Notamacropus eugenii: one gene and its partner. The protein of the gene in region 1 interacts with the protein of each later gene in a biochemical or structural test. Links are inferred from orthologs where the notes say so. Each region holds a gene or a part of one and is shown on either strand. Other genes may lie near its edges.

Region 1 (7,833 bases):
GACTGAGGCTTGAATGGAGAGTTAAGAAATTGGAAGTAGGGGCTTCCGTTAGGGAGCCAGTAATGAAATGAGGAAAGCTTGAACTACATTGGTAAACAAATGAACAGAGAGAAGGAAGAGACATTTGAGAGGTGATACAAAAATAGAATTTGTGAGACTTGATGACGGATTGGTTGTCAGTGATGGGGAAGGAGCCAAGAGCTAAGTATGATTGGGTGAGGAGGCACAGGTATGGGGAAGTGAGAAACCTAATAACTGTAAGGATGGTGGTACCCAAAAGAGGGAAGTTAGGAAGCTCGAAAACTGTCGAGACTCCTTAATAGAATTCATTTTTTAGTGGTTCTTAGTTTAATTTTTAAAAAATTATTTGGTGTTCTGTTAATTTAGATAGTTTTACAATTAATCCTTCATTTCTTTAAAATTTTCAGCATTGCTGACTAAATATAATTGTGCATAATATGTATTATGACTGTTTTATTTCCTTGTGATTTCACCATGTTCATTTTTATTAGTAATTTGATTTTCCTTTTTCATCAGGTTAGCTAAAAGCTTATTAATTTTGTTAGTCTTCACAGAGAACTAGCTTTTAAATTTTATGATCACTTACAGCATTTTTGTTTCCAAGTTTATCTTTAATTTTTAAAATCTTTTTTGTGTGCTGATTTTGGTGCTGTTTGATTTTCTAAAAAGTTAAGTAATGCTCTTGTTCTGTTTATGCATGTTCTCAGAAATACATTTTTTTCTAAGTACGGTTTTTTCTGCAGTTCAGAAATCTTTTACAATTTGTCTCATTGTTATTCTTTTTTACAATTTTTTTTTCTATGATATGTTCTTTGACTCATTCATTTAGCAAATCATTCTTAAGTCCCCATGTAGGTCTGTATCCTTTTATTTTAATTTCATTAACATCAGTAAATAATGTAGTTGTTTCTGCCTTTTATACATTTACTAATTCTCTGTGCCCTGGCACATAGTTTATTTCTATAAAGCTATCATATAACATCCAAAGATCTTTGCAATCTTAAATGCTAACATCCAGAGAATTCCCTTGCTTTTCCAACTCTAAATTCTCCAAGTGTGTTCAGTTCTATATTTTCCCTTTCTGTTAGATTTTTCTAGGTCAGAGAAAAGAACATTTAAGACTCCTATAATTGTTATTCCTATGTCTTTTTGTAATAAAGGTAACCTACTTTATGAATTTAGATGCTATACATTTCAATTGAAATTTCTAAAAAAATTTGTTATGGTCATTGTCCATGATTCATTTAGGTTTAAGGTCTCCATTTTTTTTCCCTTTCTACCCCTCCCACCCACTTAGACAAAGACATACTTTTATTAACACATGCAAGTAGTTGCCATAATAGTCTGGAGGCAAGGGAAAATTGTCCCTCTCCTCCCTTCCCTTGTAATGGAAAGTACTAAGTATAATCTCAGAATCCTACCACATTCAGTGTATGAGAAGAAAGAAGAAAAGTTTTATCTCTCCTGATGCTGTGAATATTTATTTTTGCTTGTTTTAGCACAATTAGCAATACCTGCTTTTATGGATTCATCTGACATATATTTTGTTCTTGCCTCTTATTTTCATTCTACACTTCTCTTTGTTTTTTAGATGTATTCTGGTATACTACATTTTGTTAGGTTTTGTTTTCTTATTTTGTCATTGTCTTTCATTTTAATGGATTCTTTAATCCATTCACATTTTAACGTAATCTGTTAAGCTTGTGTTTTTCTCCATTTATGTTGTAATGTTTTGGTCCCCATCCACAACCTACTTTTAAAAAATTTATTAAATGAAATTTTTAAAAATTCTGTACTTAGCACCAAATAAAATGAGCATTTCTATATAGAGAAGCAGAACAGAAAAATAGAATTGCATTTGCACTTCCTACAGTTTTCTTCTCTTTGCAAGTGAAGGAATTTGTACAAATTCAAAATGTTATTTTCGAAGCTGTTCTGGGAAACTTACATTGTTAAAAAGAGAAGCAAACCAACTGACAGCTTGGGATTTCTGCCAGTACTGTTTTGTAATATATAAGAATATTGTGCTTCTTTTAAAAAATGGTCTACTTAAAAGAGCCTTTGTTGTCAGAGAATACTTGAACAGAGTCACTACATTAATTCAATTGAATTTTATTATAAAGTGCCTGGTATATTCTAATTTGACAACTGGGTATAATGTATTACATCTGTTAATTTGAATGCCTTAACTAGAATGGTATTTATAAATCCTATTTTTGGAAAATTTTATGCAGAATTTTGTAAAAGTTAGGCTGTCTACTTAGACTTATCACCTTTATGATTCTGCCTTCTACTTCTGGTGAAGTAACAAAACATGGTGGATCGGTAACTTGTTTATAATAGGGAATGAATTTAAGTGTTTAGTATTTTTTTTAAAATACAAAACCTTTTACATTGTTACATAAAATATATTTTTATATTATATGTTATAGAAAACTATATTTTATATACATATAAAACATAACATCTTTATTTTAAGATTAACCCACGAACACTCCTTTTTTGTTTTTTATATTTTGTAAGCAATTAGAAAGTCCCTGGCTGTTATTCTCTTAAGTTCAAAATAAAGTATTCAATCCTAGATTATTTTGGATATTTACTATCCATTTTATGCCTTCCCCACATTTACTGTGAATCTATAGTGCTTTTGTCCCTGTGTCATCATTCCTCTTTACTTTGTCCACTTCAGATAACAATGAGATTTCTGTGTTCTACGATTTTATTCTTTTCATAATTTCATATCCCAAGTTATTGACAGTTTGTTGCCATGAGCCCAACCATTTTCTTTTTCTCTTCATATCTAGCTACATATAATTACACTTGTATTTTCTTTCTAAATTTTACTTTATATATTTTGTTTGTATGTCATCTTTTTTCTGAACATAGTCTTCCACTTTCTTTTATCATCCCTTGTGATAAAGAATAAAAAAAGAAAAAAAAAAACAGTTTAGCAAACTGAATACCAAGTCTTACAGTATATATAATGCCATCGTTCCTCCCCTACCCCATAAAGAAAGGTGGAAAATGAGTTTTAACCTTTTTTTTCTCAGTTTTTCAGTGAAATTTGGTAGGTTGAGTTATAGATAGGTTTTCATTCAACAAACATTAGGTGGCCTAATGTATGTAAAACTGTGATAAACACTGTAGGTTATGATTGAGACAAGTAATAGACGTTTTATAGATGCTTTCATGATTTGTATGAACATAATCCTATGATCTTGGGGCATAAGTCCTAAAACAGAATAGTATTTTCACACTTGAGAGTGAATTTATGATTTCCTCTATGGGTACAGATTACAGAAAATTCATTCCCAGTCAACCTGTATGATTCTTGTCTATGTTCTCTGATAGATCTCTATCTAGTTGTATTATGCGTTCCTCAGATATTTTAGTGTTTCATAATTAGTGCAATACAAATTGTATGTCTGTTATCTCCTTTACTGCACTACTTGACCAACCTCATTTTCCAAATATATATTTCCTTGATGTTTTCCATTGAAATGACAACTTATTTTACAAACTTTTACTTGAAGTTTACCTGTTATTTCTAGATTAAAAGTTCTCATTCAGGAGTTCAGAGGATTTTTAGTGCAAAAATACTGAATCGTTTAAGGCAGTTTTTAAAATTTAAGACTTTGATTGTAGTTGGTAGTTCCTGTTTAAAAAAAACAACACTATACACACTATCCTAAATCCTTACAATAAGGATTTTTGTTACATTTAATCTTATTTTGTTACATTAATTTTTCGAATTGTTTCTATACTTGATAGGACTACTGGAAACTGAAAAAAGTAAATTATTATACTATGTAATTGTGTGTATGTAGTAGTCACTAGTGGACTGACACTGGCAAGTTCATAGTTGGAATTGATGGTCATTTTAAAAGCTGTCTATACATTAAAATGATCTCTTCTCACTTGGGATGTTGGCAGTAAATCACAAGATTTAGAACAGAAAGAAGGAAGGACTCTGAGATGAATCTAGTACAAGTCCTACTGGAAGCATTTGGTATAACTTCATTCACATTGCCTTTGCTTGAAGAATTCCAGTGATGTCTTCAGCATACGATTTGACAAGCTGTTGAACTTTTGGATAGCTTTGCTAGGAACTTTAAGTGTAAAGCCAAAAATTCTTGCTCTGCACCTTTTACTCATTTGCTGTATAGCACCAACCAGAGCAAGACTAAACTCCTGTTTCACAAACCCTTCAAGAGAGACTTGTTACTGCCTCCTCTCTAGGTTTCCATTGTGTTTGCTTTTCAGTGAGTTATTCCTTAGTGATCCAAATCAGGTCTAGATTATCAGTGTTCTAATGATCAGTTATCACCCCCCCCCCGCCCCCCAGCTGCTTTAAACAGTTAAACCCTAGTGAAGTCAAGAATGCTAAAAGTAAAAATAAAAAGCTGTTGGAGAGGTATGAACAAGTTCCAGATTTGCTACTGTGTTCTGCTTAGAATGCTAGGTTTATAGTCTGTTTCCCCAAACCCACCATATATTTCTTCTTTCTTGGTACATAATCAAGCAAGAAATCATATGTCAATCATTTCACTCTCTGATCTCCCTAGGTCCATGTATCTTCACCTTCTCTCTGGCCATTTTCTGCCCTGCTTCTGCTTCAAACTGGACCTTCAACCATGCCTAGGAGGTGCTAAAGCACTCTGTTATGAACTCCTTGAGCCTATGCAGCCTCATCTTTACACTGGCCATTTTCATCCTGCTGCTGACCCACCCTCCAAACCAGTCCTTCAGAGACCATTTCTGGAAAAAGCTATGACATTCAACTCTGAACTCCCTGGACCCCATTTATTCATCCTCATCTTTACCCTGGCTGTTTTCAGATTTGTTACTATGAATATCTCTTAACCTTCCACCTCTTTAAGTAATCAAATCAGCTTTACCGTTAGCTTTGTAAAGGTTTTGTCAGTGATCTGCCCTACTGTTACATACATCATCGATGAGAATACCTCTTTCTGGCTACCAGTAAGGGAATATTTTCTCTCCTTATAATAAGCTTTAGAACAGGGAATGTCTCACTTTTGTTTTTGTATCCCTAGGGCTTGTGTTTGGCACACATTAAACATTTCATAAATGCTTTTTCATTTATTTGCTAAGTACCTATTATGTGTCAGGCAATATGCTAGCTGCTGGGGATTGAACAAAAGTTAAATAGTTTCTGATACTAAAATAGGATAGGCAAATACACATATATAAACATACAAATACATGTAAAACATATTAGTAACTCAGGGGGTAGGAAAGGCCTTATTCTGATTCTTGGAGGAAATTACAGATTCTAATAGAAAAGGAGACCTTTCTGAATATAGAGGACCAACAGTCAGGCAACAAGCATTACAATGTGCCAGGCACTGTGCTGAGTGCTGGGCTACAAAGAAAGGCAAAAATAAAAGTAAAAAAACCCTACTCTCAAAGAGGATGTATTATGAGGGAAACAGCATATGAATATGTACATAGAAGGGAATAACAGTATATGTAGAGAATCTGAAACAAAAAAGGAAGGCATTATTAGTAGCTGAGGGGACCTGAACAGCCCACCTGCAAGAAGATGGGATGGTGAGCTAAGTCTTGAAGGAGGGTAAAGGGCAGGGCATGCTAGTAATGAGGGGATATAGCCAGTGCAAAAACATTGAGTCAGGAGGTGGAGGTCTATGTGAGAATTTTCGATTGTGTAGAGAGGATTAAAGTATGTAGAAAAGTAGGAAGGGGTCAGTTTGTAAAGGTCTTTAAATGCCAAATAAAGGATTTTATATTTCATCCTAGAAATAATAGTCTTTGGAGTTTATTTGAAATGGGGGATGGGTGAGAAGAGGGCAGGGAGGTATAATTTGGTCAGATATGAATGGAGTGTTAGGCAGGGAGACCAAGTAGTTGACTGTAATATTCCTATATGTCTTTTTTCCACTAATCCCAGTAATATTCCTGTATGTCTTTTTTCCATTAATCCCAGTTTTGTACTGTACTTTTTCACCTCACTCCTTCTTGGGTTTCCTCACAGGAATATGTCATATTGATCTACATGACCTGCTGGCTACATTTGTGGTCTCTCTTTCATGATCTCTTGTTTATCACCCAGAATTTGTACAATTGTTTACAGACATCTGAGGCCTTGAAATTTCATTAATCCCCCTTCTCCTTTGATATTTACCAATGAGCAGGAAGGCATTAAGTGCCTATAATTAATTGATAGACACTATTTTAGGATCATAGATTTTAGATCTGAAAGAGGCCTTCAAGGCCTTTGAATCCAACCCCCTCATTTTCTTTTGTATCTGCTGCTTATTGTGATATATGGCTTGGTAGCTGGCATATGGCATGTAAGCAGTTTCTTTTCTACTCAGTTTTCTGCTTAAAGGCCTTTAGGTGAGAGTGCAGGTTTTCAGGCCGATTTTAACTGTTGAAAAATCCACATGGCCTTCTCAGATGCCACCTTCTTAACTGATCACTCACAACATTTTATCCCCCTCTGAAGCCCCTATCTTTGATCAGCAGTAATGATGAAAAAATGCCACCTGCACTCTTAAAGTGTTCAATCATACCCAAGTGTAATGCCTAGCTATAGGAGTAGGAATTCCTTCAAGTGTTCTCATTTGTCCTTGGATGAATTACCAGAATTGAGTAATAGCTGTCTATCTGGCTGTTCTCAAGAGTTTCTGCACATAATGTATGTACATCTAGTGAAGCTATCATCTCTCCTTATTTTTCATGTCACCTTAGCATATAATTGCTTCATTACCCTCTCAGAGTGATCAGCCAGTGCTAATTATATATTTTTTTTGCTGCCAAGTATTTGATAGGTTTTCTCCTAGTAGCATATGTGAGATTCTTCTAGTCATTCCTTCAAGCTAGCAAAGCTTCTCTGCTTGAGGTGTGTGGGGGGGGTGGAGTGGGGGGGGGGCTTCTCTCTGGAAAGTTCCTTTAATCTATAGCATAGGATTCTTGAATGATAACCATGGTTATCCTGTTACAATTGCTGTGGCAAGTTTCTTGTTTCAAGACCCTCACATTCCTGGTTGTCATTGTTCTTAAAATATAGGGTTCAGAATTGTATGTAATATTCCAGATGTGGTTTGGTTGGGAATAATGTTTATAACATATAAGGCCCTTGTTATAGATCCTAAAATTACATAATTTCATGCAGCCAGAAATTAAATATTTTTTGGCTGCCATGGCACACTGAATGTTATTTTGCTACAATTCTTATTTTGAAAACATAAATTTCTTCTAATGTGATTGATATATCAGGAAATAATTTGAATTTCACATTTTGCTTATGTTCCATTTTTTTCCCCATGAGAAACACCAGATTAATACATAAAACTGTACTTAACTGAGAAATATGGGAGTACACAAAACACACATGCACATGTGTCAGACATCTGCCTGCTACCTCACATAAATTATCTTACGAGGCTGTATTTTTCTCTTCTTTCATGTTTGTGAACTTTTCTATATATACTCATTAAAACTTGTCTAAACATCCTTGCTTAAAAACATCAGTCAGTTCATGCAAAAGGAAATCTGTGAGTACTGGGGAGAAGTTTGAAATAATGCATTTAAAATAAATAAATTGTAAACAAAATGGAGCGTCTGACATCTCCCCAGCAACAGAAATAAAGAAATTCACATTGCTGATCATCAGGGGCAACCTATGAAAATAAAAGAAATATCCATGACTGAGAAGTGTTGTTCTCATGTGCCCTGTGGTTTTTCTTGTACAGTTTTGTATAGGGTAGTGCTTTAAAAAAAAAAAAAGTTAAATTTATTGACGTAACAACTTTTTATGTTTTCAAAAAG
Region 2 (7,763 bases), on another chromosome or scaffold:
GAGGGGCAGCTTGGCCCATTTAGGGGGCAGTTGCTAGAATTGCTAATTCCTGCAGACCATTCTGTATCCCCTGTTCACTTCCCTCTTCCCCACAGTATATTAGAAGGAGCCCCAGGCAAGGATCAGGCAGCTCAGGCCCTTTCCCCTCTCTGGGCCTCCCTTCCCTCCCATTAAGAGCATTGATCTAAGGGATTGCCTCCTGGTTCTGCAATCTCCTGGGCTGCCCACCTACAGCACCCGCTGCTTCCTCCATAGCAGAAACTTCTTCGGGCACGGGAAGAACATTTCCAGATGTTAAAGGAGCCCCCAGAGGCCGTGGCCACCCCTGAAGCCCTCTCTGATGAGGATCTGCCTCTGGACCCTGAGCTCTATCAGGACTTCTGTGCTGGCGCCTTCGATGACCATACTTTGGTGAGGGGCTGGGCCCTGTTCCTTCTTGTGCAGATTAGACTGGGCCTCTGGAAAGCCCCTTCACGTAGGTCCTTTATCTGTTTTCTCTGCTTAGAACCTTGGAGTGTCTTCTCCAGCATGAGGTAGCATGAAATACGGACTGGGTGCTAGATTTGGGGTGTAAGCATGTGGGTCGGAAGTCTTGGGATCTTTAGGCAAGTTATTTCACCTGGGGCAAGTAATAAGATTGGATTTCTACAGCCTCCAAGGTCTATTCCAACTCTCAATTTAGAATTTTATGTATTCAAGGGGAGAGAAAGGACACTCTTTTTTTGTCGTGGCTCGGAGCCTGTAGTGGTTAGACAGTATTCCCCAAAGGGCCAATCAGTGCCTTTCTGCTGGCTCCTTCTCAACCTGGTCAGAGCAGAGGGGTGATGGGCTCAGTGGCCTATGCCTTCCTGCTCCCAGCCATGGTTGAGTGACCCTGAGGATGCACCTTTCCTGGACCCAGTACTTCGGAAACGTGCAGTGAAAGTAAAACATGTCAAGCGGCGGGAGAAGAAGTCAGAGAAAAAAGTGAGTAGCAGGAGAGGCGGTAGTGGTGGGCAGTGGGGAACTGTCCAGAGGCTCACCAGCTTCCCCCTCCCGCCCCAGAAGGAGGAGAAATATAAGCGTCACCGGCAGAAGCAGAGGCACAAAGAGAAGTGGAAACACATTGAACGCCCAGATGCCAAAGACCCAGCCTCCTTGCCCCAGTGTCTGGGCCCCAGCTGTGTCCAGGCTGCCCAGCCAGGCTCCAAGTACTGCTCTGATGACTGTGGCATGAAGCTGGCTGCCAAGTGAGGATGCCATCCCCCCATCTCTTGCCCACATTACATGAGGCCTGACTTCTTTCCCCATTTTGTCCCACTCCTGCTCTTCTACTAGCAGAAAGCTATAGCTAGTGTGGCTCCTGGGGAGGACTCCAGAGACCAACTGCCCTCTGGGATCCCTTCCCATGCATATCTTGCCCTCTTTCCCTGGCAGTCGTATCTATGAGATCCTACCCCAGCGAATCCAGCAGTGGCAGCAAAGCCCATGTATCGCAGAAGAACATGGAAAGAAGCTTCTGGAACGGATCCGAAGGGAACAGCAGGGGGCTCGGATGCGCCTGCAGGACATGGAACGTCGCTTTCACGAGCTGGAGGCTGTCATCCTCAGGGCCAAGCAACAAGTGGTACGCGAGGATGAGGAGGTGAGGAGGCCAGGTTGTGGGGAGCCCCTGGGAAAGGAGGTGGTACTCACAGTCTCACTTTGGGGCTCCATGGTTCCCTGTTTGTAGAGCAATGAGGGAGACAGCGAGGATACGGACCTGCAGATCTTCTGCGTCTCCTGTGGCCATCCTATCAACCCCAAGGTGGCATTGAGGCATATGGAGCGCTGCTATGCCAAGGTGCCTAGCCCCTCAGCAACTTGGGGAAGTTCCTTAGGAGGGTAGCATCCACTGGGGTGGGGCAGGCCAGAAGGGGTAGTCCATGTCCTTTGGAGGGCAGGGTCCAGGTTGGTTTGGCCTGAGGAATGGGGGAGTGACTGACCTGTGCAGGGGGGACAAGGGTTGGGGGAGAGATAACGACTGCCCTCAGAACAGTGGGGATGGGCCACGCTGCCCTTCACAAAGTGGGTGCCTTCTTAAGAGACTGTCAGGGGAACAAGTCCCTGCTGATGAGGGCCCTGGCTCTGTAAAAGGCACATTCAGGGCATTGTGGGATCTTAACCTTGTCTTCCACAGTATGAGAGCCAGACATCCTTCGGGTCGATGTACCCCACCAGAATCGAGGGGTGAGAGAGGGCACCTTGGGGAAGGGGAGGGCAGGGAGAATAGAGTCATCTTCTCACATTTCTGATAAGCATATGGTTCCCTTGCTCCTAACCCCTATCCCACCAGGGCTACTCGCCTCTTCTGTGATGTCTACAACCCCCAGAGCAAAACCTATTGTAAACGCCTGCAGGTTCTGTGCCCCGAGCACTCCAGGGACCCCAAGGTGAGTAAATTGTGCTGGGGACATAGTCTTTGCTATCATCTCTTGTGGTCTTGTGCATCTCTGATGACTCATTTGGCTTGTGTGCCTGTTTGGGGGAGATGCAGGTACCAGCGGATGAAGTATGTGGCTGCCCCCTGGTACGGGATGTGTTTGAGTTGACGGGAGACTTCTGTCGCCTGCCCAAACGCCAGTGCAATCGGCACTATTGCTGGGAGAAGCTGCGAAGGGCTGAGGTGGATCTGGAGCGTGTGCGAGTGGTGAGACTTCTTGGTTTTGCCTGTGTGGACTTCAGGCAGAGAGGAGGCTAGAGCACCTGGCATGGGGTCTTGGGCCCAGTTGGAGGCCCTCTCCATTCTGCCAGCTCTGGGGGCACACTGTCACTTCCCATGGATAAGGGCCTGGAGCCTTGGCAAGGTGGGGAGAGGAGCGAAATGAGGTTGGACGAGTGAGGTGACCTGCCCTTGGAGCTGGGGGAGAGGCCGGATTGGGTTCATAGGGAACGGGGAGGTCAGCAGACTTCATGCATGCACAAGCTGAGATCAGTGACCAAGTGTTTATGTGACTGGTACTGAGCTGAGCTCTGGAGATAGAGAAAGCCACAGATGACAACTCTGTCCAGATAACTAGGTGGGATCCATTGGGGTATCTCCGAGGGAGGGTGCTAAGGTTAAGGGGATCAGGAAAAAGAGTTGTTGCACAAGGGCAGAACTTTAGCCAAGACTTGAGGTGAGCCATGGAATTGAGCAGCTAGAGATGCAGATGGGGAGAGTGCCAGGCATGAGGGATAGCCAGAGAAAATGCTCTGAGTTGCAACAGGAGACTGTTTTTCTGGGGGAGGGAACTGGGACTGAGGCCAGGTAATGCATTCTCACCCTGTGGAGGTGTGGGGTGGGGGAAAGCAGGTGGAAGGGTGCAGTCCTTCCAGCCTAGAGGAGCAGTATGATAATTCCTCACACCCCACCCTGGCAACAACAGCAGCAACCAGAGCAAACGTAAGGGAGAGAGCTGGGCCTGTCCCCATGAAACTCCACAGCCTTTCCCTTTTCTCCCATAGTGGTACAAGTTGGATGAGCTGTTTGAGCAGGAACGGAATGTGAGGATGGCCATGACTAACCGGGCTGGCCTGCTGGCCCTAATGCTGCACCAGACCATCCAGCATGACCCCCTCACCACAGACCTGCGTACCAATGCTGACCGCTGAGTCCAGCCCTGAGGAGATGGCCCTCATGGCTTGGGCCTCCATCCCCAAGTGTGGCTAGATCCCTTCCTTGGCCTGTGGCCAGCTTGCCATTCTACTCCCCATCTCCTCGTGCCCTTTTTTGCTTCCTTTGTTTCTGCCCTGTCCAGCCCTACTCCTCAGCCCTTTGGGTCGCTTTAGTCACCCCTTCGTAACCTTGGTAGCCCACGCTGCTCTGGTGACTGATGTGGCGGGTTGAGGGGCCCTGTGGCTGAAACTCCAGAACTGAAGTTTGTTCACAATAAATTTGGGAAGAAATCCACCTGTGGCTTCCTTTTGCATCAGCTGTTGTGTGACTCTGACCCCCACCCTGGATGGGGTGGGGCAGAACTGAAGTTCAAGGTGTCTGGATGCCAGACATCCCGGAGTGGCCAGTGAGAGGTCACTGCAGTCTAAGGAGGGGGAGGGCTCTGAATTGAAAACTGACCCATTTTGCTAATGCTACCTTTGAGGCCTAGACCTAGTGTGGGTTTTAAGTTGGCAGCTTCCTTCATACAAGTTCATCTCATTTCTTCACTACCACCCTGGCACAGAGCTACTGCTGCTGTGCCCACTTTGTAGGTGAGGAAACTGCCTGAAGAAGTAGGAGGGTCACGTTTTGAGTGACCCAGTTAGGATTTGACCTTAAAAGTGGCTAAGCACTCCAGTATCTCTGCCAAGCAAACCCCAAATGGGGTCCTAAAGAGTTGGGCCTGGGGCCAGGGCCTCTGAGCACCCTCTAACTTGTGATGAAGGCTGGGAGGTGCTTGGTGGTCTTTGTGGATGCAGAGCAAAGGCCAGGACCCATGCTCCCCCCAGATATCAGGCTCTGCTGTTTATTGGGCTGGGGCTAGAGAGGTGCATGCCCAGGGACCACGAGAGGGCCTGGCATAGGCTGCCTGGCTTGGCCCACCCTCCTTTCCGGGGAGACCCTCTGAGTGCAGGGGAAGGGACACCTGCCAGAGCCAGGGCCATGCCCCTGGGGTCTAGGGCTTAAGCCTGAGACTGGGGAACTTGGGCTCGCCTCCTGGCCCCACCCCCACCCGAAGGCCCCGCCCCTAGCCCAGCTGGCCCTCGCTTGGCCTGGAGCTGGGACTGCGTTGGAGTGGGGGCGGGGCAGGGCCGGATTTCCGGTTCCGGGTTCTATGGACAGTGGGCTTGTTGCCGGGGCAGCTGGGCCTTCTAGAACGGGCAGAGGACGCGGACCGGGCAGAGGGGAGCCGGCCGAGCAGGTAGGAGGGAGCCTGACCGCGGGGTGGGCTCTGGCCGAGCCGGAGGCGTCGGGGCGGGGGCCCGGGGAATTGGAGGATTCCTCCGGCGGGGCGGGCAAAGGCGCGGAGGCGGGAGAGAGAGCAGGTCTTCGAAAAAGGCCAGCCTGGGCGCAGGGGGAGGGCTACGGGGAGGGACCGCCGGGCCGGGGCGCGAGGCCCGGGGGTAGGGAACCCGATCCCGCGCGCCCCCCGCCCCCCAGCCTCAAGTAGTGGCTTCACCTGGGCCTTCCTCGATAGCCCCCTGGCAGGGAGCGAGCCCCTGGCAGGGGGCCCTCCTTGTGTGTCCCCTCCCAGGGTGGCCTGCCATCCTGGCACTTCTTTTTCTCTTCCAAGGCAGCCATTTTACCTCTGCTTCCCCCATCTTAGGGCACCTTTGCTGGACTCAATCACCTCAGGCCCTGTGGGGCACTGGGGACTCAACCCTGGCTTTTACTGCTCTGTTCCTTAACCTCCAGCTATTCCCTCCTCCTTCTTTGGCCTCAGTTTCCCCACTTGTAGATAATTCTGCCTAAGACTGTGACCCTAGGTAATGCCTTCCATTCATTGGGTTCTTCTCCTGGGAAGGTCTGAGTCTTTACTTAAGGGCTGGGTTGAGGACCTGGGAGGTGGGGGGCAGGTGAGGCAGACCTATGGGCTCAGGGTCACCCTTTTCCCCTCTGAGCTGGAGCCTTGGACTCCCAGCACCCACTGACCTGCTTCCCCTCCACAGGCGGCCACCTGTGGCACTGACCACTCCTTACCTTGGTCCTCTATGGCTGAGGACTGGCTGGATTGCCCTGTGTTGGGCCCTGGTTGGAAGCGCCGTGAATCCTTCCGCAAATCCGGAGCCTCCTGCGGCCGTTCAGATACCTACTATCAGAGGTAGGCAGGACCCATGGTCTTGATGGGGTACTGCAGGGAGGTGGGCAAGGGGTTGAGAGCTTTGAGTTGCACTTGGTTCTGGGGAGGTGTGGATGGAGCTTCTGGGCGACCGCACCGTGCCATCACTCCTGGTGCCATGCCCAAGCACTGCCCTAGGTGGGGTTGGAATGACTGCCTTGGGCCTGGTAGCCTTACCCCTACCCCCAACCTCTCAGTTGGGTTGATGTGGGCATGGGGAGGGGAAGGGAGGAGACAATCAGCATTTCTAAAGTGCCAGGCTATGTGCCAGGCCTTGTGCTAAAGTATTTTACACATAATTTTATCACAACTGCCTTGAGAGGTAGGTGCCATTGTGCTTCTCATGTTATAGCTAAGGCAAGTGAGAAAAAGGAAGAGTTGACTTAAGCCAGGCCACACAGCCAGTAAGTGTCTGAGGCAAGAATTGAACCCAGGCCTCTAAGTAAGAATTTTTCTTTCTTAAGAGCAGAGGCTAACCATGGACTCAGCTGCATTGGACCCAAGGGAGGGGGCAGTTAACTGTGGCTAAAGCAGGCCTTGGAGTGAGGGTGGTAGTTGGGAGGAACTGCTGAGTTCTTTGGCGCTTCTAGGCTGGACCAGGAACATTCAGGGAAGCATTTCTCCCCCCCCCCCCCCCCCCCCCCCTCTGGCTCTCCACTGCAGCCCTACTGGGGAGCGGATCCGAAGTAAGATCGAGCTGACCCGATTTCTGGGGCCAGATTGTGACCTGAGCCGCTTTGACTTCAGGCACGGTGTTCTTCAGTACAATATGCCTGCCAAGGTATCTGTTACTGCTAGGGAGAGGGAAGTGGTCAGTGAGACTGCCGGGAGGCATAGGGCCCTTTGGGAGTTCTGCTCTTGTACCCTCAGGCATCTCAAAAGAAGAAGAGGCAGCCTTGGCACAGGAAGGCAGTACCATCTGTCAAACAGAAGCAGTCTCAGCAGCTCAGGTTCAGTCCTCCCCCACCCCAGGACCCTCAGCCTCGGTGAGTGGGAAACATGCTGGCACATCCACCCTCCAAAGCCCAGTGGGACAGCAGCTGTGGGGGTGGGACAGCAAGCTGTCCTCCAGGCCTTTGAGGCTGCTGCCAACGTAGTGTCCCTTTGGCACCCCTGGGAGGGGACAGGATGAGATTCATGAGTGAATGGGTTGTCCGTGTGGTCCTTGCACCCCCACTCCCCCCCCACCTGGGGGGGTTTATTGGCTGGACTCCCTTGTTTCTCAGATGGTGTGAAAACTGTGGAGCCAGCCTCTTAGGGGACAACACTGGGCGTCAGCGACTCCGGTCCCTGTGTCAAAACTGCCGAGGTGGGTTTGGGCCAAGCCCCAGGCTGGAGCGTGGAGGAGGGGCCGCCCTTGGCTATTCGTACAATCTCTTCCTTTCCTCCCCCAGCTCGGAGAAATGCCTTCAACCGGGAACAGAGAATGTTCAAGGTAGCCTTGCTGCTTAAGCCCCCACTTAGGGCCGACCCTTGGAGGGGAGACTGTGGGGTGTGACCTAAGCCTTGGGATCTCCTGTTTCCTTGGCAGCGCGTGGGCTGTGGCGACTGCGCAGCCTGCCGGGTGACCGAGGACTGCGGTGTCTGTAGCGCCTGTATTCGCCAGCTTCCTCAGCTCCCCCGAAGCCAGTGTGCGCAACGCATCTGCCTCAAGATTACCAATAAAGTCAGTGGGGCTCCCGGGGCCGGGGCGGGCTTGGGGCTGGGGCGGGCTTGGGGCTGGCCCCTCACGCTGCTCTGGCCCTCACTCTGCTCCCCAGAGTTTCCGGTGTGGCCTCTGTTCTGCTTGTCAAACCAAAGAAGATTGTGGGATCTGCCGAATTTGCAAACGTAGAGAAAGACCGGGCCTCAAGAGAAGGTGGAAGTGTGTCCAGAGGCGCTGTCTCAAGGTGAGTGAGCCCTGGGCATCCAGCAAGCACCTCAGGCCACAGGCAGATTGGTGAGCTGAAGGTTACGGAACAGACCTTGACTCACCCAGGCTAGCCT

The links.
Region 2: the proteins of ATF7IP (region 1) and uncharacterized protein form a complex in vitro, tested with the Homo sapiens proteins (2 studies listed by BioGRID). The link is inferred for Notamacropus eugenii from reciprocal best matches to the Homo sapiens genes ATF7IP and MBD1.

Annotation. Positions count from the first base shown.
Region 1 is NC_092874.1:196,063,604-196,071,436, reverse strand, and holds the start of ATF7IP (activating transcription factor 7-interacting protein 1), read left to right. Parts: upstream 1-4,586; 5' UTR 4,587-4,975; coding exon 4,976-5,001; intron 5,002-7,833. UniProt on the Homo sapiens protein: Recruiter that couples transcriptional factors to general transcription apparatus and thereby modulates transcription regulation and chromatin formation. Can both act as an activator or a repressor depending on the context.
Region 2 is NC_092879.1:101,936,113-101,943,875, forward strand, and holds the start of uncharacterized protein, read left to right. Parts: upstream 1-4,750; 5' UTR 4,751-4,772; coding exon 4,773-4,859; intron 4,860-5,607; coding exon 5,608-5,759; intron 5,760-6,440; coding exon 6,441-6,558; intron 6,559-6,647; coding exon 6,648-6,763; intron 6,764-7,003; coding exon 7,004-7,086; intron 7,087-7,171; coding exon 7,172-7,212; intron 7,213-7,308; coding exon 7,309-7,443; intron 7,444-7,537; coding exon 7,538-7,666; intron 7,667-7,763. Other genes in the region: CXXC1 (CXXC-type zinc finger protein 1), read left to right, coding at 256-411, 859-1,229, 1,417-1,624, 1,712-1,822, 2,159-2,208, 2,315-2,411, 2,516-2,668, 3,466-3,612. UniProt on the Homo sapiens protein: Transcriptional repressor that binds CpG islands in promoters where the DNA is methylated at position 5 of cytosine within CpG dinucleotides. Binding is abolished by the presence of 7-mG that is produced by DNA damage by methylmethanesulfonate (MMS).